Macaca mulatta: one gene and its partners. The protein of the gene in region 1 purifies or fractionates together with the protein of each later gene. This does not show direct contact. Links are inferred from orthologs where the notes say so. Each region holds a gene or a part of one and is shown on either strand. Other genes may lie near its edges. The genes, in order: FUS, DDX5, SMARCA4, SNRPD1, ZNF326, HNRNPUL1 and HNRNPR.

Region 1 (4,135 bases):
TTGCTGGGGGGGGCCCAGGACATGGCCCTCATTGTTTCTCTAGAAGGAAAGGTCCAACCCTCAAAAGACCTTCCGGAATCCCGCTGAAAGTTAAGTTGGGAAGGAAAACCTGCATGCGTATGTATCAGGAATTAACGTCTTTTGTCTTGCTTTGTTCAGTAGTTTCAAATTGCCTTCTCCAGGCAAGGCTGATGAAAGTGCAAGTTGCAAGTTAATTTGAATTTTTCTTTCTGCTTTTGCTCTCACAGGAAGTGGAAAGGCAACCAAACACTCTAGCATTCATGCCACCAAAAAGAGGTTTTGCAGTTACAAGACCTGGATTCGAATCACGACTCCTCTTAGCTGCCCTGTAATCAGGCACAATTACTTGGGTCTCTGAGTCTCACTTTTCTTATGTAGAAAACGGAGATATGTTTACCTCCTTCGTAAGACTGATGAGAAGGAAATTATCTGTGCATTTTGAAACCACTTAAGCCTTGTACACGTTTTATTTCTGGGATCGCCACTGGTTCCCTGGTAGGGCTTCAGAAAAATAAAAAGGAGGTCCCTGAGCAAAGGCTGGGGGGCCCTTCATCTGAGGCCAACCCTCTCTTGTCCCAAGGATGGCCTGGACTGCTCCGCCCCGCGGCTCCCCAGGGGCAAAGCCGCGAGGGTCCGGGTGAGAGCCCAGTGCTGGACCAGCTCGGCGCTCAGGGGTCCCGGCCGAAATCCCTGCTGTCTTTCAGGTCAAACGTCATAATTCCCGAACCCCAGAAAGGCCGAAAAGCAAGGCAACCCCGAAAGACGACGAAGTCAACACCAGGGCGCAGGGCCAGTGTGCTGACGACGAGGGAGGCTGGAGCCGCGGGGACAAGGCGCCCCATACAGCGGCAAGAGGGCGGAGGGCAGGAGCTCGCCGTCCTGGGTGAAAGCGGGGCCCAGCGAAGAGGCCCGGCCACAGGAATGTCGGTTCCACCCCGCGACTCCCGGCGGTGACTCCAGTTTCGTCCCCAGCCGCCCGGCCCCGCCCCGCCCCGCCCCCAGCGGGCACTCAGGCCGTACCACTGTGCCTTCATGGGGGTGGAGTTAGATCGTGGGCTAGTCCTGCCGAGGAGAGAGGGGTTCTTCCCCCAAAAATATCATTATGTATAGTATTTGCATGATTCTAGTTAACTCGTTTCCCATCTGCATGCTCGGAACCTCTACCTACGCTAGGAAGGGGGCGGAGCGCTTTCCTGCCTCCCCCTGCTCTTCCGCGTTTGGTGCGCGCCTGCGCGGTGCGTAGGCGGCGGGACCTACTTAAGCTTCGACGCAGGAGGCGGGGCTGCTCAGTCCTCCAGGCGTCGGTGCTCTGCGTTGTTGGAATCTTGTTGCTTGCTTGGCTGTGCGCGCGTGCGCCGACATGGCCTCAAACGGTAGGTAAGGGCGCGAGGCGGCGGCGGCGTACCGGGCCGAGGCCTCCCACCTAGGCTTTTCATTTTCGGTGGGACCGGGGTGGCGATCCTGTGTGGGATTCTTTCGCGCCCCTGTGGCGGGAAACCGCGGAGAGGGGTAACTGGAGGAGGCTGGTGTCGCCATTTTGTTTCGCTCCTCTGGCCCTCGCGCGCGGGGCGGCAAGTCTTCTCTTCGCAGTCCGTTTGCTTGGGGTGGTCGTTGGGAGGGACGCTTCTTAGGGGCTTGAAGCATCAGGTGAGGGTGGAAAATGCCCGGTTTCCGTGGCCTCGCCTCCCCCAACTCCCGGCCCCGCGCTCAGGCCCGCTTTGTCGCAGTGCTGCATCCGGGCACTCGCGGTGCGCACGCGCTCTGCGGGCCCCTCCCCCTTCGCGGTGCGGGTACCCCTTCCCCGCCTCGTGTCGGTTCAGCTTTTTGTCGCGAGACCCTTCGCGGAAGACTTGGCGGCGCGCGTCCGGTGTGAGCCTTGTTCCTCTGGTCTTTCGCGAAGGGGCGGGACAGCTCCATTCCCGCCTCGGTTGCCACGCGGCTGGGGGCGGAGGCTCGGTATCTGGGCCGCGCTCCGGCTTAACGGTTTGGAGGAGGTGGTCGTGGATCCACCAACGGACTCGGTGACCTGGCCCGAGAGTTTTTCCCGCCCCATTTTTTTTTTTTTTTTTGAGTCAAGATCTCCCTCTGTCGCCCAGGCTGGAGTGCAGTGGTGCGATCTCAGCTTGCTGCAATGTCCGCCTCCTGGGTTCAAGTGATTCTCCTGCCTCAGCCTCCTTAGTAGTTGGGATTACAGGCGCCTGCCACCACAGCCCGGCTAATCTTTGTGTTTTTTAGTAAAGACGGGGTTTCACCATGTTGGTCAGGCCCGTCTCGAATTGCTGGCCTCAGGTGATCCGCCCTTCTCGGCCTCCCGAAGTGTCGGGATTACAGGCGTGAGCTTCCGCTCCTGGTCTAAATTTCTTTTTTCTGAGATTGGGACGGAGAATAACAGCCGTCGAGGCCACACCCTCTCCTGGTCCTTTCCCTTTTCCTGCGGGGGAAGCGCCGCGTTTCCTGCGCTGGGAGGATGAGTTGATCTTGTTCGTGTATTTAAAGTGGGGCGTTTCAAAAGGGCTTTCGTTGCTTTTGGTTCGCCCGGGGGAAGGCAGGGTAGATGAGAAAACAGAACCATCTGGAGCCCCACGGCTGGGGACTCGAGTACCTGTTGACTTTGGCCTCTTAAGGCGAGCACTTGGATGATCTCTGTCATTTGGGGTCCAAGGGCTCTTGATTCTCTGGCTTTGCACTAAAAAGCCCACTACTTCTCCGGAATTGGTCAAAGAGTGAAGAATGGCCTTTTTTGAGACATTCTTCTGTGGGTCTGGGCTGAGAGAGTAGAGGCCACAATCTGAACACTGCTCGAATTCAAACCTGTGCTACTTGGTAGCTCTACGACTTTGGGAGCGAGTTAGTCTGTTTTGACTCCTGGCAATAATGGCTTTGTCATAGAGTGGATGAAGCGAATGCGCGATGTTTTAGAGCAATCACTGACATGAATTGGTCTTGCAGAAAGTTGTGGCTGTCCACCAAGACCTTGGTTTTTCCAACGGTTAAGGCTTCTGGGACTCTGTAGAAACTTGCATTTTCTTCACTTTTTCTTTTTTGTAAGAACACTTGGCTGATAGGCCAGTTTGCTACTCTTCTCAACCAGTGTCTCAATGGGGGAATTTTATGCCCTTTATTGAAACGTGATGCTTTTTTTTTTTTTTTTTTTTTTTTTGAGACGGAGTCTCGCTCTGTCGCCCACGCTGGAGTGCAGTGGCGCGATCTGCAACCTCTGTCTCACGGGTTCAAGCGATTCTTCTGCTTCAGCCTCCCAAATAGCTGGGATTACAGGCGTGCGCCACCATACCCGGCTAATTTTTTGTATTTTTATTAGCGATGGGGCTTCATGTTGGTTGGAATTCCTGACCCCAAGTGATCCATCCACCTCGGCCTCCCAAAGTGCTGGGATTATAGGCGTGAGCCACCGCACCTGGCCTGTGTGGTCCTATTTATTCATCAGTGCTTGAGTTAAGGAATTTAGCTTTAATTCAACTGTTTCAGAGTGGCGGCTGAAGATAATATGATTGTATTTTTTTTTTTTTTGCAGATTATACCCAACAAGCAACCCAAAGGTGAGTGCTGTTTTTGGGCTTCCAGAGTTTGTAGAGGGGAAGGGTGGTCAAGCTGTGTTTTCTGATCACGCTGGTTTTCCTTTCATCTAGCTATGGGGCCTACCCCACCCAGCCTGGGCAGGGCTATTCCCAGCAGAGCAGTCAGCCCTACGGACAGCAGAGTTACAGCGGTTACAGCCAGTCCACGGACACTTCAGGCTATGGCCAGAGCAGCTATTCTTCTTACGGCCAGAGCCAGAGCAGTGAGTCTTTCTCAGCAGGTCACCTCTTCCTGCTCTTTCTGAATATTGCTTTTCTTTTTTTTCTTTTTCTTTGGGAGACGGAGTCTCATCCTGTTGCCCAGGCTGGAGTGCAATGGTGCTATCTCAGCTCACTGCAACATCCGCCTCCCGGGTTCAAACAATTCCCCTGCCTCAGCCTCCTGAGTAGCTGGGATTACAGGCACCTGCTACCACGCCCTACTGATTTTTGTATTTTTAGTAGAGATGGGGTTTCACCATGTTCGATAGGCTGGTCTAGAACTCCTGACCTTGTGATCCACCTGCGTCAGTCTCCCA
Region 2 (4,196 bases), on another chromosome or scaffold:
AACCATGACAACTGGTTTGTACGCAGTCCTAGTGAAAAGGATGAAAGCGTCCTAGACAACCAAATTAATTCGCTCTTCAAAAGCGGTGCTAGACAAAGCCCATGACTCTAGAGGGCACTGAAGAGAAAAAAGCACCACTATTCTTCTGTGGCAGGGGCATGAATAAACCTTAAGAGTGCCGTTCCTTTAAAGACCACTACAAAAGGAGGTACGACCTCAGGGCCCATAGTGCAAGGGAGGAGGGCACATGGACAGCGGCTAGACGCCCCACAGAAAGACAAGTCCGAGGACGACCCTTCTGACTGCTCTTTTTGCAGCCAGGACCCGAGCGTCCTACCGGCCTCGCCCCAGTGCCTCTCTCCCACCTCATACTGCTGTTCCACGGCCTCAAAGCGAAGAGGGGGTGAAGCTGAGAGACCCTATCCAGAGAACCCGCCACCGCGACGCAGCGTCTGACAGTAACGAGCCCCGCCGACACCCCAGACCCAGTCCGGGCTAGCCCGAGGCCTCCCTGAAGGTGGACAGTTTCAGTAAACACACACCGCGACCCCAGGGAAACACTCACCAGCCTCCGAGCGGGCCATGTCTCGGAAGCAGGTCGCCGCCGGACTCCGACGCTGCCAGACCGGCGACGGTGTCCTGCAAGGACCGAACGCAGAGCAGACGCTGGGGGGCGGGCGCACGAACTAAAGCGCGGGGAAGGAGGCGTGAAAGAGGGAGGGACGTTAAAAGAACTTCTCGCCGCTGATTGGTCATCAGAGGAGCACTTCCTTTCACAGCACGTGCCACGGAAGCGGTTTGGGAAGTTTAGAGACCATTCTCCGCCGGCCAAAACCCGTCACAGGATTGTCAGACCCGTGGGTCGGACGGTCCAAGTTAGCCGGCAGCTGGGGGCGGGTCCCGGGTGCTGGCAGCGCACTTCCGGTGAGCTATTTCGTTATGTATCCCTCCGCCGACGTCAACGGGGAAGTAGTGCGGCCCCCTGTCACGGTGGGCGGTGGGGGGGTAACGTCACGTGACAACGCCAGGCCCCCGCCTTCCCTCTCATTTGGTTACAGGCGTGAGGGCTCTTTGGAGACGTAAACACCTCCGAGTGGGGAGGGTGGGCGGGCTTGGGCTGGCTGTTTTATCGTCTGGCTGGGCTTGGGAAAGGGCAGGGTGGCTTTCTTGAGGTGTGGAAAGACGAGAAGAAGGTGAGGTCAAGAGAGTGGAGAATGAGGCATTTCAATGGTGGGTGGGCCCTGACCTGAGAGAGCGGCACGGGGTGGGGTGAAAGCGCGGCGATCGCGGAACGCCGGCGGGCGTTGCGGCCTCTGCGCGAGGGGCGGGGCGATTAGGTCATAGAGCGGCTCCCAGCGTGCCTTGCGGCGTAGGAGGAGGTCCAGACTATAAAAGCGGCTGCCGGAAAGCGGCCGGCACCTCATTCATTTCCACCGGTCTCTAGGTGTGCAGCTTTGGCTGGTGTCATCGCCGTCACTCCTCCGCTGCCGCCCCCGCAAGGCTTCGCCGTCGCCGAAGCCATTTCCAGCGACTCGTCGCACCCTTTTCTATCTACTTCGTTCCCCGCCAACCGCAACCATTGACGCTATGTCGGGTTATTCGAGTGACCGAGACCGCGGCCGGGATCGAGGGTGAGTGTGGGAGCCGAGTTGTCAGGGCTGGCGGGTGGGGGATGGGAGGGCGGGTCAGGGTGGCGGCGGGCCGGGGCTTTGCGGCTTGGACTCGGCCTTTCCGGGCTATCTTGGGGCCTCCTTTCCCGAAGGCTTGCGCCATTTTGATATTCACGTAACAGTGAGTGGGAGAGATTTGACGGGATAGTGTCTTCATCCTCGCTTTTTGTGTGGGGGTCGGGGAGCCGTCGGGGCGGCTGCCATTTGGTAGCTGTTGAGGGAATTCAGAGGGAGCGCATTGTTCGGATGAAAGCGCGACGCTTCGAGGCAGACGAAGGAACAGCTGTTAGGTGCGGCCTTTCGGGAGGTGTTTTTGGGGTGGTCGGGCATTCTGTGGGAGCGAAGGGACCACCTCCAAAGCCACTGGTGCTGTGGGGGTAGGAGGGCGGCCGGCATCAGCCATGTGGCTGAGTCGCGGGTATAAAATGCCGGCCTTGGACATGGCGGCGGCGCCTTTGTTACTCCGCCCGGCGGAGGAGCTCAAAATGGCAGCGTCGAGAAAATGTGGCGCAGAGAGAAATGCGAGACAAAGGGGGAAGCGCCGCCCCAGCGGGAACGCCGCCCGGCCGGCTCCGCCCGGGCCGGGACTCCTCCCCCGGTAGTCGCCGGCTCCTCCTTTTCTTTTTTCCTGCGTTATATAATTTTAATTCGTTGATCCGGAGCTCTACCGCGGCGTCCCCCCAGCTCGGTTTGCTAGCAGAAGTGTTTCTAAACCGTTGTTTCGTTTTCGTTGTCTGTGCTGTCTAGATTGTTGACATCAAAGCTCTTTGGCTTGAAAACGGCCATATGAGTAACATCGTTGTGATGCTCTTCGGTTCATGTAGGCTTGTTATCACTGATAATGAATTGCTAGACTGGTGAGAAAGATAATAGTAACCACAAGAAGTGGTGTGTAATACTAAATTCTGGCATCTGGGTGACAAGTTTTCGATATAGTAAATCCCAGGCTGTTTACGTGGCCTAAGTTGTGTGTACTTGGGACTACGGGAAACGTTAACTGTGGCTGTTGAGAGAGAGATTATCACTAAGGACAGTGCTAGGTTTACCTCTCGAAGTCGGCTTTCAGTGATCTTTAGCTTGTGCCAAGGGATGGTAAACAAATCTGTCCAGAAACCTAGGTGTAGCCATTTGAAAATGTAAATAACTTTTTTTCTTCATTCCAGGTTTGGTGCACCTCGATTTGGAGGAAGTAGGGCGGGGCCCTTATCTGGAAAGAAGTTTGGAAACCCTGGGGAGAAACTAGTTAAAAAGAAGTGGAATCTTGATGAGCTGCCCAAGTTTGAGAAGAATTTCTATCAAGAGCACCCTGATTTGGCTAGGCGGACAGCAGTGAGTAAATTCATGTGGCTTCATCAGGCTGTAACTCAATGGAGTCTAGTAAATGAAATTCTGACAGGTGTTTTGCAAATAACTCAATTTTGGTAGAGTTACGTTTTCTGACTTCGTAATTGGGAAAGGTGTGACTCACTTTTGCAAATAGGTGGCTTTGGGAATTTTTTTTTTTTAGATTGAGTATAGCAGAATAAACGGTTTTTTTGTCATATAGGGTTTTCATACGCGGTTCCAGATTAAAATGAAGCTACTTTAAACTAGTTACTAAATTATGAAGTTACGGGCTTGCCAATTACGTATTTAGTTAGGGGTGGTTGTCATGAGCTTTAAGACTGTTATAATTTGTTTTGCAGCAAGAGGTGGAAACATACAGAAGAAGCAAGGAAATTACAGTTAGAGGTCACAACTGCCCGAAGCCAGTTCTAAATTTTTATGAAGCTAATTTCCCTGGTGAGTGCTACTTTTCAGTTCTACCCTACCCCTGTGTTTTTGTTTTCACCTACCTCCTCCTTTCCTTGGCATCACTAATTTTTGTTAAATATCTGTCACTAATTATAGCAAATGTCATGGATGTTATTGCAAGACAGAATTTCACTGAACCCACTGCTATTCAAGCTCAGGGATGGCCAGTTGCTCTAAGTGGATTGGATATGGTTGGAGTGGCACAGACTGGATCTGGGAAAACATTGTCTGTAAGTTTGAGAGAACTCTTGATGTAATATGTGCAAGAAAACGGAATGCTAATTTAAAAACAAGAGTATTTTAATGTGATTTCTGTTTGTCCCCGTCTTCACCCCAAATAGTATTTGCTTCCTGCCATTGTCCACATCAATCATCAGCCATTCCTAGAGAGAGGCGATGGGCCCATTGTAAGTATATATTTTTAACTTTTTATTAGAAGTGTAATATATAGATTTTTAGACTACATAGCAAAAGATGTAATTATTTGTGGTGGTTTTATACAGAGGTTAGCTCACCCTATTCAGCTGGAGTTGCTTTGGGTATTGGACAACACATGAAGAAAGGATCTGCCATCATAACTAATAAGTTAATAGTTTAAAACTAGTATCCAGGTTTGTGCTGAAAGCTGTTTCTCTTTCCTTAGTGTTTGGTGCTGGCACCAACTCGGGAACTGGCCCAACAGGTGCAGCAAGTAGCTGCTGAATATTGTAGAGCATGTCGCTTGAAGTCTAC
Region 3 (3,636 bases), on another chromosome or scaffold:
GAGGTTTAGCGATGGGCATTGAAGGGCAAATTGCTTCCGTTGGATTTAGCACTGGGAGGAGACGACAGGAAATGCTGCTGTAGAGCCACAGACAGAACACTGAAGCCTCAGGGGTGTGGGGCTGGCCCCAGTGAAGGGTGTGAGGGACAAGGGTGAGGCTGAGATCTGGAGGAGGTTGGCGCCCAAGGCGGGTGTGAGGGACACCCCTAGGTGAGAGGTGGGAGGTGGGCGGGGTCTGCCTGTCCCCAGGGCCTCGAGCAGCCCAGCAGCTTTCTGTTTCCAGCCTGGATGGGCCCCAGAGCTCAACACGATGCCCTGGCTCCTTGCCTCCTCCCAGGACCCATGGCGAATGCTGCTGCCCCCACGAGCACCCCTCAGAAACTGATCCCCCCGCAGCCAACGGGTCGCCCTTCCCCTGCGCCCCCTGCCGTCCCACCTGCCGCCTCGCCTGTGATGCCACCCCAGACCCAGTCACCCGGGCAGCCGGCCCAGCCCGCACCCATGGTGCCGCTGCACCAGAAGCAGAGCCGCATCACCCCCATCCAGAAGCCGCGGGGCCTCGACCCTGTGGAGATCCTGCAGGAGCGCGAGTACAGGTGAGGGCGTGGCCCCAGTTCCCATATGTCCCATATGTCCCCCTGGGGAAGCCACTCAACTTTCTCCCCCGCCTTAGGAAACAGTGCCCTGTGCCCACCGCTGCCACTTGGCCTACACCTCCTTCCTCACCTCCCTGCTCCCACTCTGGCTGCGGTCTGTTTCCCACACAGCAGTCTGAATTCTCTTTTTTTTTGAGATGGAATTTCACTCTTGTTGCCCACGCTGGAGTGTAATGGCGCGATCTCAGCTCACCACAACCTCCATCTCCCGGTTTCAAGCGATTCTCCTGCCTCAGTCTCCTGAGTAGCTGGGATTATAGGCATGCGCCACTGCGCCTGGCTAATTTTATATTTTTTTTAGTAGAGACAGGGTTTCTCCATGTTGGTCAGGCTGGTCTCAAACTCCTGACCTCAGGTGATCTGCCTGCCTTGGCCCCCCAAAGGGCTGGGATTATAGGCGTGAGCCACGTCGCCTGGCCTGAGTTCTCTTTTCACGATTGATTGACGTCAGATCTACTCCCTGGATTAAAACCTGCCTGTAACTCCAATTATCTGCCCAATAATCTTTGCCTTATGTCCACTCCTGCCCAGCATCCTTCCTCACCCACCCCACTCTCTCTGTTCCTCTTTTCATTTATTTAATAAGTTAGGCTTTTTCCTGCCCCAGGAACTTTGCACAGGCCGTGCTGGCTCCTTCTACTCATTCAGGCCTCATTGCTGGGATTCCCTCCTTCTGGAGGCCCTTCCCGTCACTTCCAGCCACTCTCTGGAATTGCAGTGGTTATTTTATTTTTTTAAATCTCTGTTATGGACTGTTTTTTCTAATGAGGCTGAGAGTTCCTTGACTTGCTGATCTTGTTTAGTGGTAAGGCCCTGCGCTCAAAATGGTCCCTGGCATACAGTTGGTGCTCAATGAGTATGTGCGGAAAGACTGATTAAGAGGATTAGTTCACATAACCTTCCTATGTAACCTTTGTAATCTTCAGACCACACCTCTAGGGTCTCTCCAAGGGGTCGCCTCAGTTTTGAGATGAGAATGCTGAGGTGTGCAGGTGAAGTAGATTCTCACGGCCCTGTGCCTCATCCATGCCAGGGCTGCATGAAAACCCCGGCCCACCTGATGCCAGAACCTGGCTCACACCACTGAACAGGCATGAACTGGGCGCGCCTATCAGGAATCTTGTTTGCTGCCCCCTAAGGCCCGGTCCTGAGGAGTGTCCCTGGCTGCCTCCCTCTCTGCTCTGCCCTGCGGCCAGCATCCTCTTCTGAGGCATCTCTTGCCTCATGACCAGCACCTTCCTTCCTCGAGGGATGGGTCCCCTGCAGCTCCAGCTATAACCGGGTGCCCTGGCAAGCCTCTCACTGCCTTTGCTCCTTCTCTTCTCTGCTCCCAGGCTGCAGGCTCGCATTGCACACCGAATTCAGGAACTTGAAAACCTTCCCGGGTCCCTGGCCGGGGATTTGCGAACCAAAGCGACCATTGAGCTCAAGGCCCTCAGGCTGCTGAACTTTCAGAGGCAGGTGGGTGCCGGCACGGCCGCAGCTTTCCAGGAAGGGCCTTTGTCACCAACACTTCTGTTAAGCCTCCAAGTATGGCTTGCTGGGCTGGTATTACACCTGCCTGGGCTGTGAAAAGCAGCTGTGGCCACCCATGGGCACTCATTCACTGCAGAACCTTCCTCTTGCGTCCTGCACAGTGCTGGAGACATGGACCTCTCTACCCTAAAGCACTTGCCTCTTGAAGCAGACTTGCAAGGGCTTCTTTCTTCCTTTTCTTTTCCTCCCTTTCCCTTTTTTTTTTTTTTTTTTTTTTTTTTTGGGAAACAGTCTTGCTCTGTCACCCAGGCTGGAGTGCAGTGGCACAATCTCTGCTCACTGCAGCCTCCGCTTCCCGGGATCAAGCAGTTCTCCTGCCTCAGCCTCTCAAGTAGCTGGGATTACAAGTGTGTGCTACCATGCGTAATTTTTATATTTTTAGTAGAGACAAGGTTTCACCATATTGGCCAGGCTGGTCGCAAACTCCTGACCTCAAATGATCTGCCTGCCTCGGCCTCCCAAAGTGCTGGGATTACAGGCATGAGCCACCATGTGCTGTCCCGCATGGGTCTATTTCTGAGGGTACTGTTCTTAGTGAGACCCTGGAGTGCAGTGGAGAGATCACAGCTCACTGCAAACTTGACCTCCCAGGCTCATGTCATCCTCCCACTTCAGCCTCCTGAGTAGCTGGGAGTATAAGCGTGCACCATTACACCTGGCGAATTTTTCCTTTTTTTGAAACAGAGTTTCACTCTGTTGCCCAGACTGGAGTGCAGTGATGCTATCTCGCCCCACTGCAGCCTCTGGCTCTGTGGTTCAAGTGATTTTCCTGTCTCAGCCACTGAGTAGCTGGGATTACAGGTGTGCACCACCATGCTGGGGTTATTTTTTTTTTATTTTTTATTTTTTTTGAGACAGAGTCTCACTCTAGCCCAGGCTGAAGTGCAGTGGCATGATCTTGGCTCACTACAACCTCTGCCTTCCAGGTTCAAGTGATTCTCCCACCTCAGCCTCCCGAGTAGCTGGGATTACAGGCACGTGCCACCACGCCTGGCTAATTTTTGTATTTTTGATAGAGACGGTGTTTCACCATGTTGGCCAGGCTGGTCTCGAACTCCTGACCTCAGGTGTTCCTCCTGCCTTGGCCTCCCAAAGTGCTGGGATTACAGGCGTGAGCCACCACGCTGGTTTTTGTGTTTTTAGTAGACTCAGGGTTTCTCCATGTTGCCCAGGCTGCTCTCGAACTCCTGAGCCCAAGCCATCCACCTGCCTCGGCCTCCCAAAGTGCTGGGATTATAGGCATGAGCCATTGCTCCTGGCCACCTAGTTAATTTTTCGGTTAGTTTTTGTAGAGGTGAAGTCTCACCATATTGCCCAGGTTGGTCTCAAACTCCTGGGCTTGAGCAGTCCTCCCACCTTGGCCTCCCAAAGTGTTGAGATTACTGGTGTTAAGCCACACACCCAGCCAAGGGTGCTGTACTTCTGAATGACTCCTAAGAAGCTG
Region 4 (4,284 bases), on another chromosome or scaffold:
GAGTAGTTAGTGGGATAAGGAAAAAGGCCAGGTGAGCTTGGCATCCTGAAACCTGAAAGAGGTAAGGGGAGTGTTTGTGTTAAATCTTGATGAAGTTCACACCTGTAATCCTAGCACTTTGCACTTTGGGAGGCCTAGAGAGGCAGATCACTTGAGGTCAGGAGTTCAGGTCATCCTGGCCAACATGGGGAAACCCTGTCTCTACTAAAAAGACAATAATTAGCGGGGCGTGGTGATTCCCCCCTGTAATCTCAGTTACTGGAGAGGCTGAGGCACGAGAATCGCTTGAACCGGGGAGGCAAGGGTTGCAGTGAGCCAAGATCGTGCTACTGCACTCCAGCCTGGGCGACAGAAGGAGACTCTGTCTCAGAAAAACAATAAAAAATTTTGAGGAGATGTTGTGAAAGATGAAGATTGAAAAGTTTGTCTTATAGATCGGAACTTAAAGTGAAAATAATCCGCTACATTGTGTGATTTTATTTTTTTATTTTTATTATTTTTTGAGACGGAGTCTCGCTCTGTTGCCAGGCTGGAGTGCAGTGGCGCGATCTCGGCTCACCGCAACCTCCGCCTCCTGGGTTCAAGCGATTCTCCTGCCTCAGCCTCCCGAGTAACTGGGACTACAGGCGTGTGCCACCACGCCCAGCTAATTTTTGTATTTTTAGTAGAGACAGGGTTTCACCATGTTGGCCAGCACGGTCTTGATTTCTCGACCTCGCTATCTGCCCGCCTCGGACTCCCAAAGTGCTGGAATTACAGGCGTCAGCCACAGCGCCCGGCCCATTGTGTGAATTGCTTCAGGTACATTAAGTAATGCTAAGGTTCCTGGCGTTGGAACAGAATTAGCATAATCCTTTGGGCTTCTCTAAGAACTTATTTTCGTTCAGTGAGGAATTTATATTAGGTGCTGCACTCACGGTGCCCTGCTATTCAGAAACGTGATGGTGACAGTACGTGTGTGTGTGTGCGCGCGCGCGCGCGCGACGGAGTTTCGCTCTTGTTGCCCAGGCAGGAGTGTAGTGGTGCGATCTCGGCTTACTGCAACCTCTGCCTCCCGGGTTCAAGCGATTCTCCTGCCTCAGCCTCCCGAGTAGCTGGGATAACAGGCGCCCGCCACCACATCCGGCTAATTTTTTGTATTTTTAGTACAGACGCGGGTTTCACCCTATTGGCCAGGCTGGTCTTGAACTCCTGACCTCAGGTGATACCCCCGCTTCGGCCTCCCAAAGTGCGACAGTCCTATTAATTGGATTTAATCTCTTCGAATCTCCCTCTCTTGTGGGACACTTTTCCTCTTAGACCAGCCCTCAACACCCTCAGTCGTGGCAAGGCAACCTCCAGCCGCCAGGGGCCGCAGTCGCGCTCCTCGCGACCGGAAGAGAGTGCGGCCCAGCGCAGCCTCGGCGTTTCCGCCGTGCGTCTGCTGTGCTCCGCGCGCCCTTTACGACCGGAGTCCCTGGAGTAGGCGCTTCCGGCCATTCATACTGCAGTCGGTCAGTATTCGGTTGTTGGATTCTGTGCGCTCTCGGACCCGAAGGGTGACGGCGCCGCTAGGATGAAGCTCGTGAGGTGAGGGAGTGACCAAGCAGCTCCGGGGGCTGTGGAGGGAGGGCTTGGCCCGGAGTCCGGAAGGCTGGGCTCTCCCATTTGCAGGAGGCGGGAAAGCCGCGTGTGCGCGGCCTGCTAACGGCCGGCCTTACTGCGCCCGCAGCTCGTGCTCGGGCCTGGGCTTCCGCCTGGGTCGCTCGCGAATCCCGCGTGTCTTCCAAGATACTGGTATAAAGGCCGAGCCTTTTCTTCCCGCCTAGTGACTTAGAGACTTTCAAGGTACAGCGCCGCCTGGGAGACATCTCGCCCTTACAGTTACTGATTTTCTTTTTGAGTGGAGCTCCAGCCCTACTTAAGAGTACTTAGAAAGCTGTATGAGCTTATCTGGAAACAAACCTGTTTGCAAACTGTTTTAAATCAGAGAAGGACTTCTGGCTTCACAAGTTTTTGTTTTTGTTTTTGTTTTAAATAAGACGGTGTCTCACTTTGTTGACCAGGCTGGTCTCGAACTCCTGGGCTAAAGCGTTCTGCCTGCCTTGCCCTCCCAAAGGGCTGAGATTACCGGTGTGAGCCACTGCGCCCGGCCGATTTTTAAGTTTATCTTTTGATTCTCCTTAGACTTATGATTGATTATTCTACCTCTTTCCTGTTAAGGTAAGCTTTTTATTTAGGAAAATCTCCCAATATAGGGCAGAAATTATCACAACGTAATTGTGGCTGATTACCCAGATGATATATAGTTATTCTGTTTTATTTCTTTCGCGAGAAATAGACCCTGTCACTTAGGTGAGTCTTCTGGAGACTAATTCCAAACTACCTGCGAGTAGATTTGGTTTTGGTCTTTTTCCTTGAGACTGAGCCTGGAACAGAGGCAGACGTTTCTAATAACTAAGCCATCGATTATAAATATTTAGCTTGTTTCTTTCCTGTTGAGTCAAGGATTGTCATTATCCGCTAAATAGTTATTGGGCACCTGTTACCTACTGGGCGCTGGTAATAGTATTTTTTAAAAGGCAGATCCTTGTTGGAGCTTTCTAGTTAGGGGGATGACAGACAAGTAGATAACGTCTGAAATAACGTTTGTTTGAAACGTTTTAAATAACACATAAAAGCCTTCAATATTCAGGGAGGAGGCCAGGCGCAGTGGCTCACGCCTATAATCCCAGCACTTTGGGATGTCAAGGCGGGCAGATCACTAGGTCAGGAGTTCGAGACCAGCCTGACCAACATGGTGAAACCCCGTCTCTACTAAAATTACAAAAATTGGCCGGGCGTGGTGGCGCGCGCTTGTAATCCCAGCTACTGAGGAGGCTAAGGCAGGAGAATCGCTTGAACCCAGGAGGCAGAGGTTGCAGTGAGCTGAGATTGGCCACTACGCTCCAGCCTGGGCAACAGAGCGAGACTCCGTTGCAAAAATAAAAAAATAAAAAATAAAAAATTCAGGGAGGAGTTGGTACAAAAGACAATTAAGATTAATTTTTGTTGTATTTTTATTTGAACTATAATTTTGGATAGGAAGTCATAGAATTTAAAGTGCATTTTTTAGGCTGGACGCGGTGGCTCACGCCTGTAATCCCAGCACTTTGGGAAGCTGAGGCAGGCGGATCGCCTGAAGTCAGGAGTTCAGGACCTGCCTGGCCAACGTGGTGAAACCCCGTCTTTCGAAAAAATACAAAAATTAGCCGGGCGCCTGTAATCCCAGCTACTCAGGAGGCTGAGGTAAGAGAGGCGCTTGATCCCGGGAGGTTGTAGTGAGCCGACGTCACACCACTGTGCTCCAGCCTGGGCAACAGAGCGAGACTCTGTCTCAAAAAAGAAAATTACAACATTTTTTGAAATTTCTCCATACCAGCCGGGCGCGGTGGCTCAAGCCTGTAATCCCAGCACTTTGGGAGGCCGAGACGGGCGGATCACGAGGTCAGGAGATCGAGACCATCCTGGCTAACGCGGTGAAACCCCGTTTCTACTAAAAATACAAAAAACTAGCCGGGCGAGGTGGCGGGCGCCTGTAGTCCCAGCTACTCCGGAGGCTGAGGCAGGAGAATGGCGTGAACCTGGGAGGCGGAGCTTGCAGTGAGCTGAGATCCGGCCACTGCACTCCAGCCTGGGCTTCAGAGCAAGACTCCGTCTCAAAAAAAAAAAAAAAAAAAAAAAAAAAGAAATTTCTCCATACCTGCTAATCTGAATCTTAATCTACTCATAGTTCAATTTTATGTAATACACCTTGGATTTCATTTGTTCCCTTTAAATATATTGCATGTTATGGCAATTTTCCAGTAATTTTTAATACCTGGACTGAATCCTGTTTTGTGTCTTAGGTCAAATATAGAAAGAAAATTTTTTTCTTACCAGAGAATGTATTTTTCCTCCAGAAAATGATTGTTTGACTAACTGGTTTGCGTTTTCAGTAGACTTATTTCTGTATATCAGTTGGTAGTTGTCATCCTTATTCTCACTGTCACCCTAACCAAAAACCTGGGAGGTGAGCTTGACTTTTTCTCTACTGATGTCCTTGACATTTGATACACTGCCAGTTTTACCTACTGCATAAAAGTGTCCCACATTTTCCTGTTTGTTTTTTGGGTTCAGATAGTGTGTTTTGATACTGAGGGACACCGTGTTATCTGACTATTTGATATCTAAGTTTCACTAAGTAGAAAGAATTCAGATACTGAAAGATTCGTCTGAAAATAAGTTGAATCCATTTGGTTCCTGGGTTCAGTTAGGGAGGGATAA
Region 5 (3,636 bases), on another chromosome or scaffold:
TGTATCACATTTGGGGAGGATAGTAATGAGGGATTTTTAAAGTACTTTATAGAAAACAAATTCTAAATGTTTGTTTTACTTTCTGATTTTTATAGTCATCCTAAATTGATTTTGTTACCTCTTTTGTTGTATTTATTTTTCATATCAGAGGTTGGTATATAGGCAGAATTGCAGTGTAATAAAATAGACAATATGCTTATTGTGTCTTAGTTTTTTTTTTTTTTTTTTTTAGTGTTCACATTGCTAGAAATTTGCATTCGTTTGTTGAGTCATCATTTATAGGCACAGTGCCATAGATTGGTCTCACTCTGTGATTTTACTTTTTAAAAATGTCTATTTCAATTACTGTGAACAAGGCTAATTGGAAACGTGGCTGCTTCTGAGTTTTCAGACATTTAGAGAGGAGTTAGATGCATAAAACAAGTATAGTCTACTGCTGTCATATAGAACAAAAATTTCCCCTTTGACATTATTAAATGCTGACTTCTCTTAAGAATAGGAATTATGTATCATTAATTATATATGCTATAGTACTTAATACAAGGCCTTATAGTAGTCCCCTAGTCAAATAAATATTGGTTAAATTGAAAATAATTCTGTGGCCAGGTGCAGTGACTCATGCCTGTAATCCCAGCACTTTGGGAGGCCAAGGCGGGTGGATTGTTTGAGCCCAGGAGCTCAAAACCAGCCTGGGCAACACGGTGAAAGCCCATCTCTATCAAAAATACAAAAATTAGCCAGTCTCATAACCAGTCTCAAAAGAAAATCAAAAAAGAAAATAATTCTAATGTAGAACTTTTAGTTGAAAATATGTTTTTCTTTGAAATATCAGGCTTTTTTTTTAAGCAAATTTGATTTAGTAGCTTCTCATCTTTGTGTTTTTCCCTTCAGCATTTAGTGTGAATTTAGTTTAAATGTTAATAGTAAATTATTATCTCAGGAGATAGATAGGAATATCTTGTGTTTTGTGCAAAGATCCCTGAAGAAAATGGTGTATTTTACTGACAATTTCTTATTGACTCTCTTTTAGGAATGGATCGTGATTATGGCCCTGGATCTTACGGAGGTCTGACATTCAAGGATATTTATCTAAAAATTCTTCTTTTGAGTGCCAGTAAAGGTGAGCATCATATAACTTTTTTCTTTTTAAACTCTTATAGGGATGGATCGTGACTATGGCCATGGATCCTATGGGGGTCAGAGATCCATGGAGTCCTACCTAAACCAGTCATATGGCATGGACAATCACAGTGGTGGTGGTGGGGGTAGCAGGTAAATTGCTTAATCATTTGGCCAAATAATTAGACAACTATAAGATTCTGGATATATTAAGTATTCTTTAGGCATGTTATGATACTTGAACTTCACTGTTTGCTATTGAATCATCACCTTAAATGTTTAAAGGTGTTAACTAATGGGATAAAATTTAAATCAGGATTACTGGCAGACATTATTTTAGGAAAACACCAGATAACTATATCATGTCAATACAATAGAGTAAGATACTCTGTTTTTAGCAGTGAACTTTTTAAAAATTCTTTTACTTCTAACTTCTTGTCAATCAAAATATCCTGAAAAATGATATAAAAATGTTATTGAAAATATTATTTATGAAGCTTTTTCTTAATAATTAAAAAAAATCTTTTCTAATGTGGGGTGCTATGTAAATTAGCAAAGCAGTCTAACTAGAATGGATTTTACTGAAACAGTCTAACATTTGCTTTCTAAGAAACATTCAAGACATATTCCTTTAATTCTAATTTTAAAGGAAGAGCATATTGCAATAATATAAATATTTTTAAAATTATGTTCAGGTTATTTATTGGCAGGTACTACTTACACCAAAGCATTTGTGCTCTAGGCTAGGAGCATTGTATTAAAGCCATGAATACTATACCTTTTACTAGTCTAGATTGTATTTATACTGTTACTACTGTATAAAGCTTAAACCTACTTAAACAACTACAAGCTTTAAGGTTGACCATATTTCAGGAGAAGGGGTGTCTGCTTTTTGAGGCACAAAGGTTCCTGCTGAATATAAGTAAAACTAGTTAGTAGACATGTGAAACAGTCATCCTTCTTCATAAATTGAAGGATCCGGATTCCTTAATGATGGACTGAATGATGCTTACTTTCCTTCTTTCTGCTTCCAGTGTGCCACTATGATTTATAGTAAAGAAAAATTAAGAAACTGAACAGTTGCAACTATTTTGCTTATGTGATAGATGTTTTGAAAAATGTAGTTGGAAATAGGAATAATTTTTATATGGTTACTAGGATTCAGAAGTAAATACTACCTTCTATTTAGTGATCTGTAAATAATTGAAGTAATGTAACACTTAATGTTTTAATATGTCAGTTATTGCCCTTTTATATTGTGAATGTAATGTGCATAAGCTATTTCTGTAGATGTTATTGTTTTATCTCATGTGTAATTGTGGGTCTTTATAAAATTGTGTTGTAAGATATCAAGCAACTTTTGTAATCCATGCTTTGGGTTTGTGAGAAGGAAGATGATTTATTTCTTCTGTTAACTCTCTTAAAACCTCGAGGAGACTGTGTGCTCCCTTTTTAAGGATAGTTTTATGTGATAATTTCCTGAAGGATATAATTTTTCAAATAATTGAATATATTATAAGATGTATTCTTTTTCATCTGCCTTGAAAATTCATATGCAGAGGGTATATGTTGGTGATCTTTTACTTTTATGTTTTATCTGTTTATCCTTCTAGATTTGTTAGATTTTCTAGTCTACAAGTAAAAAGTGATTGAGGATTGATTAATTGACCTTGGCTGAAGTTTGGCAGATTGTCAAATTTTTATAACCAGAGATAATTCCCCAAATTTTGACTCCTACAGACACAATGAAGCAGTTTGTGATATAGATTATTGGGAGTGCAAAAGGATCTCTCTGTGTCACAAATAACCTACATCTAAGTAGACTTCAGTTTGTGTCCTTATTGAAAGCCAAAATGTTGTAAATGTTTTGTAATTTTTAATAATAGAGATAGATTCAAAAACGTTTGAATAGTTTGTGAACTTTAGCAAATGACCTTTTCCAAGACTAGGGCTGGGCTTAAATAATGACAGACAAATCCTTTCTTTTTCATAAAATAGAAAAGCTGCTAAGAAGCAGATTTTTAAGCTAAGTTTTACTAAACTCAATTCATGTTTAGAATCTGACTCAGATAGCTTTCTATCTGGTCTCACGTTGAACTGCCCAGCCCTAATCAAGTGTGAACAAAAGTAGAACTGTGCAAACCAGTATGGTATAAATGAATTTTAGTTGATAAATGTCATCTGATAATTTGTCTTTTGAATTGTCTAACATTAGTAAGCTTACTTTTGTTTTTTCCCTCACTGTGCAACTTTTCCAGGTTTGGACCTTATGAGTCTTACGACTCCAGGTCTTCTCTGGGTGGGCGAGATCTGTACAGATCTGGCTATGGTTTTAATGAACCCGAACAAAGCCGCTTCGGAGGTAGTTATGGTGGTCGATTTGAGAGCTCCTACCGGAATAGCCTTGACTCTTTCGGAGGTAGAAACCAGGGCGGGTCTAGCTGGGAAGCACCTTACTCCCGTTCAAAATTGAGGCCTGGGTTTATGGAGGACAGAGGAAGAGAGAATTACTCTTCC
Region 6 (3,636 bases), on another chromosome or scaffold:
CTGGCGAGGCCAGAGGGGCCCTCCACCAGAGGGAAGGCTGCTGCTGGGAGAGTCAGCAGCCAAATGGGCATGGGCTCCCCATCTGTGCATGCAGTGCACTGTGACCACCCAGACTGTCCAGGCAGGACCCTGAGTGTTAGTTAGACTCTACCTTTCTACCCTTCTTCCTCATTCCTGTACAGCAGAAACCAACAGTGTTAAGTCCCTTTTTTAGTGTTTTGGTAGGAAAATGAATATCATTTATAATTTAGGACACTGAAAAAAATGGGTCATCTCAAATTCTCTCAGATGTAGGATTTTAAGAAGCCTGGTACATGGATAGATAGTAATTATTGGGATTTATCTAGGCTCTTGCACATGCCCCTTCCTGGACAGCACCCTTTTGAGATACCACAGCCTCCAAACAGTAACGGAGATCAGTGTGGAAGTGGTTGTCAACATGCAGAGGGTATGGATTAGAATCTTAGGGTGTAAAAAAAGAGCAAAAAAGTTCCCTAAATGATTCTGATGCCCCCTTCAGCAGAGCATGCCCTCTCCAATCCCTGTCTCCACCCTAGGAGTTGATGGTCATTGCTCTCATTGCAAGGATGTATGGTTCCAGAGTTCTTTTGCCCACTTCTGTGGGAAGAAATGGAGATTCAGGAAGCAGTCTGGAGGCCACTTGTAGATTATAGCAGAACATTCATTTTCTTTCCTTTGTGCTCATGTATTGTTCTTGTGTGACTTAACCCCCGTTTCTAACACAGGGGCCGCTCTCCTCAGCCTCCTGCTGAAGAGGATGAAGATGACTTTGATGATACCCTTGTTGCTATTGACACCTGTAAGTCTTTGGAGTGCCCATCTAATTCTGCCTTATAGTCAGTATGGGGAAATTGTGTCTTGACCTTCACCAGAATCCCTGCCTGGCACCGTCCAAAGACATTGTTAGTCCACATGTGACACACAGCTTAGCTCTGGAGCAAGAGTCCTGGTTTGGAGGCAGAAGACCTACTCCCAACTCTAGCAGTGGGACCCTGGGCAAGTCATTCTACTTCTCTGAGCTTCCCTTCAGTTAATTCTGCCGTAATAACCTCAGAGGACTTTCAGGGAGACTCCTCAGTGGATACAGGAGCAATTTGGAAAACCCTGAACTGCCCTGTACACACAGAGGTTGTCATCTAATCAGGAAGGGAATCTGAGTGCTGCTGGGGAAACTTAACTCTTTTGACAACTAGTTCCCGTTTCCATCAGCTGCTCACGTTCTTGGTGAAACCAATGTCACTGTGTCCTCTGAGGCACAAACCTGGCCCACCCTGCTGTCTGTCCTCCACTTCAGCTTTCTTTCCACTGGATAAGTGGCTTTCACCTTTGCTGCGCATCTGAGCATTTGGAGGATTTCTTATAAAGGTCCTTTTCCTCAGACCTCCTAGTCAGAGTCTAATGAAGAGCCTGTGAATCTAAATTTTTATATGCACCCAGAAGCCCAGTCAGGTCTGAGAACACTGCACTTCTCAACAGAGCAGAAGATAAGCAGCAATTTATTCATCTATTTCTACAGAAGCTTATGTTTATAAAGCACTGGCTACATGCTTTTGTAAGAGATAAAGATATATACGGTCTCTAATATCGCAAGCTCTCAAAGACAAAATCTACCCAGAGTAGAGGTAAACATTGTTTAAAAAGTGTTGGGGGGCAGTGGTTCATGAGGCAGTGTCTGATGAAATGGAAATGTACCGACCACAGTGGTCAGCCTTCAGAGAAAGGAGAGTGCCTCATGGGAGGGATGGTCAGGAAAGGCTTTCTTGGAGGCATGACTGGTTGCTTGAATATTGAGAAGGGTAAGAGCAACAGTAGGAAAATCCTAGGCCTATGAGAGGAATTAGGAGCCTATGGGGCACCTGGGCATTGGTTCCTGGGTGGCAGGTGTGGATCAGGGTCAGATCCCTGTATAGCTGTTGGAAACAGAAGTCTGGTTCCCAACTTGATAGAATTAGCACAGAGGGCGGAATATATGGTGGTGGTGATCAACCTTTTTGTATTCTAAAATCTAGTTTGAGTCTGGGCAACATGGCAAAACCCTGTCTACGAAGAATATAAAAATCACCCGGGCATGGTGGCATATCCCTGTAGTCCCAGCTACTCAGGAGGCTGCAGTGGGAGGATGGCTTAAGCCCCCAAGATGTGTTCACTTGTGTACTCCTGGTCAGCACTTGGGGAACTTCCCTCTGCCTGTTTCTTAGGACTTTTAAAACATCAACCAGGTCGGGCATGGTGGCTCACGCCTGTAATCCCAGCATTTTGGGAGGCTGAGGCGGGCAGATCACCTGAGGTCAGGAGTTCGAGACCAGCCTGGCCAACATGGAGAAACCCTGTCTTTACTAAAAAATACAAAATTAGTCAGGTGTGGTGGTACATGCCTGTAATCCCAGCTACTCAGGAGGCTGAGGCAAGAGAATCGCTTGAACCTGGGAGGCAGAGGTTGGGGTGAGCCAAGATCACATCATTGCACTCCAGCCTGGGCAAAAAGAGCGAAACTCCGTCTCAACAAAACAAAAACATGAACCAACTGGGCTTTTTCCTTCACAGATAACTGCGACCTCCACTTCAAAGTGGCCCGAGATCGGAGTAGTGGCTATCCGCTCACAATTGAGGGCTTTGCCTACCTGTGGTCAGGAGCCCGTGCCAGCTATGGGGTCAGAAGGGGCCGTGTGTGCTTCGAGATGAAGGTGAGTAGGAACAAGAGAAGGGGAAGGTCAGAGAGGTCCGTCCATTGTAATATCCTGACACCAGCCACCTTGGTCAGAGCTACAACTGGAAAAGAGACTGGATCGTGCAATACTGTGTCCAAGCAGACAAAACTGTGATGAACTCAAGAGAACTACATCATTGCTAAATATCATATCAGAAAAGCAGGCCAACCATACATTGCTTCATCAAGCAGATATTTCCTTGGTGAGAGTTGACCCAGGTATTGTATAGTCAACCAGTGTAGTGATGACATGTTTGTAGAACTGAGAAAATACGTTGTTTGGAAGAAAAGTGATCTAGAAAGAATAGACTCAGGTGTCACTTAGTAAAGGGAGGCCAGAGGGAAAACAGGACAAAGAACTGCCAGCTTAGGCCAGCATCTGCTGTGATCTCTGCACCGTTCCATGTCAAGTTATGTTTATGAAAATAATACATGCTCATGTTTAACAAAAGTTTAGACAGCACAGAAGAGTACAGGATAAAACAGGTTATTCTCGCCGGGTGCGGTGGCTTACGCCTGTAATCCCAGCGCTTTGGGAGGCTGAGGCAGGTGAATCACGAGGTCAGGAGTTCAATACCAACCTGGCCAAGATGGTGAAACCCCGTCTCTACTAAAAATACAAAAAATTAGCCGGGCGTGGTGGTGGGCACCTGCAATCCTAGCTATTCGGGAGGCTGAGGCAGAGAATTGCTTGAACCCAAGAGGTGGAAGTTGCAGTGAGCCGAGATCATGCCGCTGCACTCCAGCCTGGGCGACAGAGTGAGACTGTCTAAAAACAAAAAAAAGCCCAGGTTATTCTCATGTCCTCTCAGTCTCCATCCTACTCCCTGGAGGGAACTTCTGTGTTAACAATTTCTTATCTATTTGTGTATCCATACTTACAGATGATAGCTAATACTATAGAGCTC
Region 7 (4,120 bases), on another chromosome or scaffold:
TTTCAAAGCCAGATTATTACTGAATTTGTGATCTTAGGCAAGTTATTTTTAATCTCTATTGTTTTGTAAGATTTGATAGCATGATGCCTTGGAAGTATTACAAGGTATAAAAATTAGCTGCTGTAAACACTAAATAGGTAATGAATATATTATAACTACTTAGTTTACCTCAGTTTGTGTACCTATGAAGGAAACTGAGTGGTGTACATGACTCATACAGTATTTGAGTAGATGTATTGTGATGAGGGTATGATTAGTTTTACCTTTATTTAATCATTTTAGAGTTAAAATAGCATTCACTATGTTTTACTGATTTCAGTAATTGTTAGAGATATCTCTTGTGTATAATAGTTGATTTAGTCTTTGATGATAATAAGTATGAAGAAAGTATTTTCATATGGTATTTGGAACACAAAACCTGCTTTCTATTGACAATGGGTTCGGACTATCTTTAATGGGTGAAATTTTCAGTTTCTTTTTCTTGTTCATCTCTCCTTCCTTGAGGTGATGGGAAGCAAGACAAAACACTACTAAAATCTTTTTTATGTTACTGGGAAGATAGATCCAGAATGCTTAGTGACACAGGCATGGTTCTTTTTTGGCATGTTTGGTTGGTGGGATACTACCACCTCTAATTTGAGCATTTTTTGGTTTTGTTTTTTGCCCAGGGTGCTGCTTTTAAAACAGGCTTTCTAGAATCTCTGACTCGTTTATAGTTAATCGGCTTGCTCATTGATGATAGCTAATTAATGAGGCAGTATTGTTCATAAAATTCATAACTTGTCCAAGATCACAAACTCAGTAATAATCTGGCTTTGAAGTATGGAATCTTATCTGTTATACTGTTACACTCTTATCTGTTAATGTGTGGCGTCTGAAATTTTTACTGGTATAGAATGCAGATAACTAATAATTTTATGCTTTCCAAATATTCCTCCTGACTCAACTGGTTTTAAATAACTGGTTGTCCTGATGGAAAATATTTATAGGATGGTTTGCCAAGGAAGCCTATTAAATTATAAAATATCTAGTCCAGGAACTGGGAGTCACCAGGATGGTCGGGGCAGAGAGTAGATGTTTCATTTTTTAATTTATGCCAGGAAGCTTTTGTAAACTTGTTTAGTTGCTTTTACTGAAGCAGTACAGGGAAAATTGCAATCTTGAGGACTAGTTTCATTTTTGTCTAGATACTTATAAATCACTAATAGCTCGTTATAAATAGAACATTTTTTTATGTGTGCCCAGAGTGGGGAGAAAGGTATAGGGAAACAAAAAATAAAATATGAGGAGGTGACATTTTGTTACTGAGTACCTGAACCTTTTGATGTATGGCAGAGGTTGTTGGGTGGAACAACATGAACAAAGGGCTAGAACATGGAATGTTTGATTACTGCTTTCTACGTAATTGCTTGAGTCTTCATTAGTCCAGGCCTTTTCTGGCTCTGTACTTTAAACTGTTCAAGCAAAATACATTTCGAGTTAAGCATTGTGAGGGAAACCTAGGTTTTTTTGTGTTGGTATCTTGAATTTTACAGATAATCTCACTCTGTAACCTCATTTGTGCTTCAGATCCTTGAAATTTTTGTATAAGAACAGTGTAAGACCTGTATGTTGTATGCTACATGTTTATTTAAAAATTCTAATCCTGAAAAGTTAATCTTTGGTTCGTATTAATATTGGCATTTTTCCCTGGTATGGATTTGCTTCTTTGGTGTGGATTTGCTTCTTAGGTATGGCTTATCTTTTAAGGAGTTAGTTATTTGGAATTAAGGAGCAGCAATAGGTGGCAGCCCTTTTACCTTTTAAAATACAGTATCAGGAGGTAGGTTTTGTTCTAAATGTCATTTACATATAAAAAGATAAGGTCTAGGGAAACGTATTTTCTTTGTGTTTGTGTTTAACTTTCTGGCTAGATTCACCTTTTGGCCATTTAAAATAATTGTGCAGTAAATTATTAAGTATATTAAATGAGTCAAGTATGATAGCATGCACACTATATAAAACATATAGTTTTATATCATAAAATAAATTAATTTTTCAATTTTTTATAGGCTATGGATGAAATGAATGGCAAAGAAATAGAAGGGGAAGAAATTGAAATAGTCTTAGCCAAGCCACCAGACAAGAAAAGGAAAGAGCGCCAAGCTGCTAGACAGGCCTCCAGAAGCACTGCGTGAGTCTACCTTTTAGTAGATATGTCTTTGGACAAGGAATCTCCATTTGATAATGGAGATTGGATTAATAAAACACAATCAGAGTCTTGAAGCAAACTGATTTGTTTTTTCTTTTCTCCCTTCCCTCCTTTGCTAGGTATGAAGATTATTACTACCACCCTCCTCCTCGAATGCCACCTCCAATTAGAGGTCGGGGTCGTGGTGGGGGGAGAGGTGGATATGGCTACCCTCCAGATTACTATGGCTATGAAGATTACTATGATGATTACTATGGTTATGATTATCACGACTATCGTGGAGGCTATGAAGATCCCTACTACGGCTATGATGATGGCTATGCAGTAAGAGGAAGAGGAGGAGGAAGGGGAGGGCGAGGTGCTCCACCACCACCAAGGGGGAGGGGAGCACCACCTCCAAGAGGTAGAGCTGGCTATTCACAGAGGGGGGCACCTTTGGGACCACCAAGAGGCTCTAGGGGTGGCAGAGGGGGTCCTGCTCAACAGCAGAGAGGCCGTGGTTCCCGTGGATCTCGGGGCAATCGTGGGGGCAATGTAGGAGGCAAGAGAAAGGCAGATGGGTACAACCAACCTGATTCCAAGCGTCGTCAGACCAACAACCAACAGAACTGGGGTTCCCAACCCATCGCTCAGCAGCCGCTTCAGCAAGGTGGTGACTATTCTGGTAACTATGGTTACAATAATGACAACCAGGAATTTTATCAGGATACTTATGGGCAACAGTGGAAGTAGACAAGTAAGGGCTTGAAAATGATACTGGCAAGATACGATTGGCTCTAGATCTACATTCTTCAAAAAAAAAAATTGGCTTAACTGTTTCATCTTTAAGTAGCATTTTGCTGCCATTTGTATTGGGCTGAAGAAATCACTATTGTGTATATACTCAAGTCTTTTTATTTTTCCTCTTTTCATAAATGCTCTTGGACATTATTGGGCTTGCAGAGTTCCCTTATTCTGGGGATTACAATGCTTTTATGGTTTCAGGCTTCATTTTAGCTTCAAAACAAGCTGGGCACACTGTTAAATCATGATTTTGCAGAACCTTTGGTTTTGGACAGTTTCATTTTTTTGGATTTGGGATAGATTACATAGGAGTATGGAGTATGCTGTAAATAAAAATACAAGCTAGTGCTTTGTCTTAGTAGTTTTAAGAAATTAAAGCAAACAAATTTAAGTTTTCTTGTATTGAAAATAACCTATGATTGTATGTTTTGCATTCCTAGAAGTAGGTTAACTGTGTTTTTAAATTGTTATAACTTCACACCTTTTTGAAATCTGCCCTACAAAATTTGTTTGGCTTAAACGTCAAAAGCCGTGACAATTTGTTCTTTGATGTGATTGTATTTCCAATTTCTTGTTCATGTAAGATTTCAATAAAACTAAAAAATCTATTCAAAACATTACCTATTTCAAATTCAATTGTGTCCTAAAACATTATTTTATTCGTAATCCTTGCAAGGAATATTGTTTTCAAAGTATAACTGCCTATGTGAGTGATCAAATTCATGCAAAATTTCTTGTCTATTCCAACATGTATTGTGGATATTAGACTGAGGATTAGTCTAAATTCAAGTATTTATTCCAATTAGCACTTCATTGATTGGTGTTCTCTCATAGTCTCTTCTAATTTTGAAATTTTATCTTTTATTTTTAAAAAAAAACAGGTTCATAGACTTTTGAGCATTCTTGCAGGCATTGGATAATTTGTGTTAAAACAAATAAAATGTGGCTGGGAAAGCAGACTGCAATCTATTTTGACCCACATTCTTTATAAGGGATAATTTGTGACTGAAGACCTTATTTGCTGGATAAGTGAATGTACATACAGGGAAAACTGTTAGTACTGTGGCGTCAATTGCACTGCGGACTTTAGTTTTAGTAAACGTGATTGTGACTACCATTTCAGTTACTGGTTTAGGAATATAATTT

The links.
Region 2: the proteins of FUS (region 1) and DDX5 purify together in Homo sapiens (affinity purification with mass spectrometry; 5 studies listed by BioGRID and IntAct, with this or other methods). This does not show direct contact. The link is inferred for Macaca mulatta from reciprocal best matches to the Homo sapiens genes FUS and DDX5.
Region 3: the proteins of FUS (region 1) and SMARCA4 purify together in Homo sapiens (affinity purification with mass spectrometry; 3 studies listed by BioGRID, with this or other methods). This does not show direct contact. The link is inferred for Macaca mulatta from reciprocal best matches to the Homo sapiens genes FUS and SMARCA4.
Region 4: the proteins of FUS (region 1) and SNRPD1 purify together in Homo sapiens (affinity purification with mass spectrometry; 3 studies listed by BioGRID and IntAct, with this or other methods). This does not show direct contact. The link is inferred for Macaca mulatta from reciprocal best matches to the Homo sapiens genes FUS and SNRPD1.
Region 5: the proteins of FUS (region 1) and ZNF326 purify together in Homo sapiens (affinity purification with mass spectrometry; 3 studies listed by BioGRID and IntAct, with this or other methods). This does not show direct contact. The link is inferred for Macaca mulatta from reciprocal best matches to the Homo sapiens genes FUS and ZNF326.
Region 6: the proteins of FUS (region 1) and HNRNPUL1 purify together in Homo sapiens (affinity purification with mass spectrometry; 3 studies listed by BioGRID and IntAct, with this or other methods). This does not show direct contact. The link is inferred for Macaca mulatta from reciprocal best matches to the Homo sapiens genes FUS and HNRNPUL1.
Region 7: the proteins of FUS (region 1) and HNRNPR purify together in Homo sapiens (affinity purification with mass spectrometry; 4 studies listed by BioGRID and IntAct, with this or other methods). This does not show direct contact. The link is inferred for Macaca mulatta from reciprocal best matches to the Homo sapiens genes FUS and HNRNPR.

What each region holds. Positions count from the first base shown.
Region 1 is NC_133425.1:29,823,030-29,827,164, forward strand, and holds the start of FUS (RNA-binding protein FUS), read left to right. Parts: upstream 1-1,305; 5' UTR 1,306-1,381; coding exon 1,382-1,394; coding exon of another isoform or gene 1,395-1,398; exon of another isoform or gene 1,399-1,784; intron 1,785-3,553; coding exon 3,554-3,578; intron 3,579-3,668; coding exon 3,669-3,838; intron 3,839-4,135. UniProt on the Homo sapiens protein: DNA/RNA-binding protein that plays a role in various cellular processes such as transcription regulation, RNA splicing, RNA transport, DNA repair and damage response. Binds to ssRNA containing the consensus sequence 5'-AGGUAA-3'.
Region 2 is NC_133421.1:74,403,391-74,407,586, reverse strand, and holds the start of DDX5 (probable ATP-dependent RNA helicase DDX5), read left to right. Parts: upstream 1-1,357; 5' UTR 1,358-1,587; coding exon 1,588-1,631; intron 1,632-1,653; exon of another isoform or gene 1,654-1,916; coding exon of another isoform or gene 1,917-1,960; intron 1,961-2,833; coding exon 2,834-2,999; intron 3,000-3,355; coding exon 3,356-3,452; intron 3,453-3,560; coding exon 3,561-3,694; intron 3,695-3,805; coding exon 3,806-3,871; intron 3,872-4,107; coding exon 4,108-4,196. Other genes in the region: CEP95 (centrosomal protein of 95 kDa), read right to left, coding at 566-584. UniProt on the Homo sapiens protein: Involved in the alternative regulation of pre-mRNA splicing; its RNA helicase activity is necessary for increasing tau exon 10 inclusion and occurs in a RBM4-dependent manner. Binds to the tau pre-mRNA in the stem-loop region downstream of exon 10.
Region 3 is NC_133424.1:11,727,080-11,730,715, forward strand, and holds part of SMARCA4 (SWI/SNF-related matrix-associated actin-dependent regulator of chromatin subfamily A member 4), read left to right. Parts: intron 1-337; coding exon 338-596; intron 597-1,990; coding exon 1,991-2,117; intron 2,118-3,636. UniProt on the Homo sapiens protein: ATPase involved in transcriptional activation and repression of select genes by chromatin remodeling (alteration of DNA-nucleosome topology).
Region 4 is NC_133423.1:70,797,231-70,801,514, reverse strand, and holds the start of SNRPD1 (small nuclear ribonucleoprotein Sm D1), read left to right. Parts: upstream 1-1,447; 5' UTR 1,448-1,555; coding exon 1,556-1,569; intron 1,570-4,284. UniProt on the Homo sapiens protein: Plays a role in pre-mRNA splicing as a core component of the spliceosomal U1, U2, U4 and U5 small nuclear ribonucleoproteins (snRNPs), the building blocks of the spliceosome.
Region 5 is NC_133406.1:150,632,175-150,635,810, reverse strand, and holds part of ZNF326 (DBIRD complex subunit ZNF326), read left to right. Parts: intron 1-1,030; coding exon 1,031-1,066; exon of another isoform or gene 1,067-1,120; intron 1,121-1,160; coding exon 1,161-1,272; intron 1,273-3,377; coding exon 3,378-3,636. UniProt on the Homo sapiens protein: Core component of the DBIRD complex, a multiprotein complex that acts at the interface between core mRNP particles and RNA polymerase II (RNAPII) and integrates transcript elongation with the regulation of alternative splicing: the DBIRD complex affects local transcript elongation rates and alternative splicing of a large set of exons embedded in (A + T)-rich DNA regions.
Region 6 is NC_133424.1:52,417,571-52,421,206, forward strand, and holds part of HNRNPUL1 (heterogeneous nuclear ribonucleoprotein U-like protein 1), read left to right. Parts: intron 1-746; coding exon 747-820; intron 821-2,488; exon of another isoform or gene 2,489-2,565; coding exon 2,566-2,705; exon of another isoform or gene 2,706-3,244; intron 3,245-3,636.
Region 7 is NC_133406.1:217,695,236-217,699,355, forward strand, and holds the end of HNRNPR (heterogeneous nuclear ribonucleoprotein R), read left to right. Parts: intron 1-2,051; coding exon 2,052-2,173; intron 2,174-2,310; coding exon 2,311-2,923; 3' UTR 2,924-3,591; downstream 3,592-4,120. UniProt on the Homo sapiens protein: Component of ribonucleosomes, which are complexes of at least 20 other different heterogeneous nuclear ribonucleoproteins (hnRNP). hnRNP play an important role in processing of precursor mRNA in the nucleus.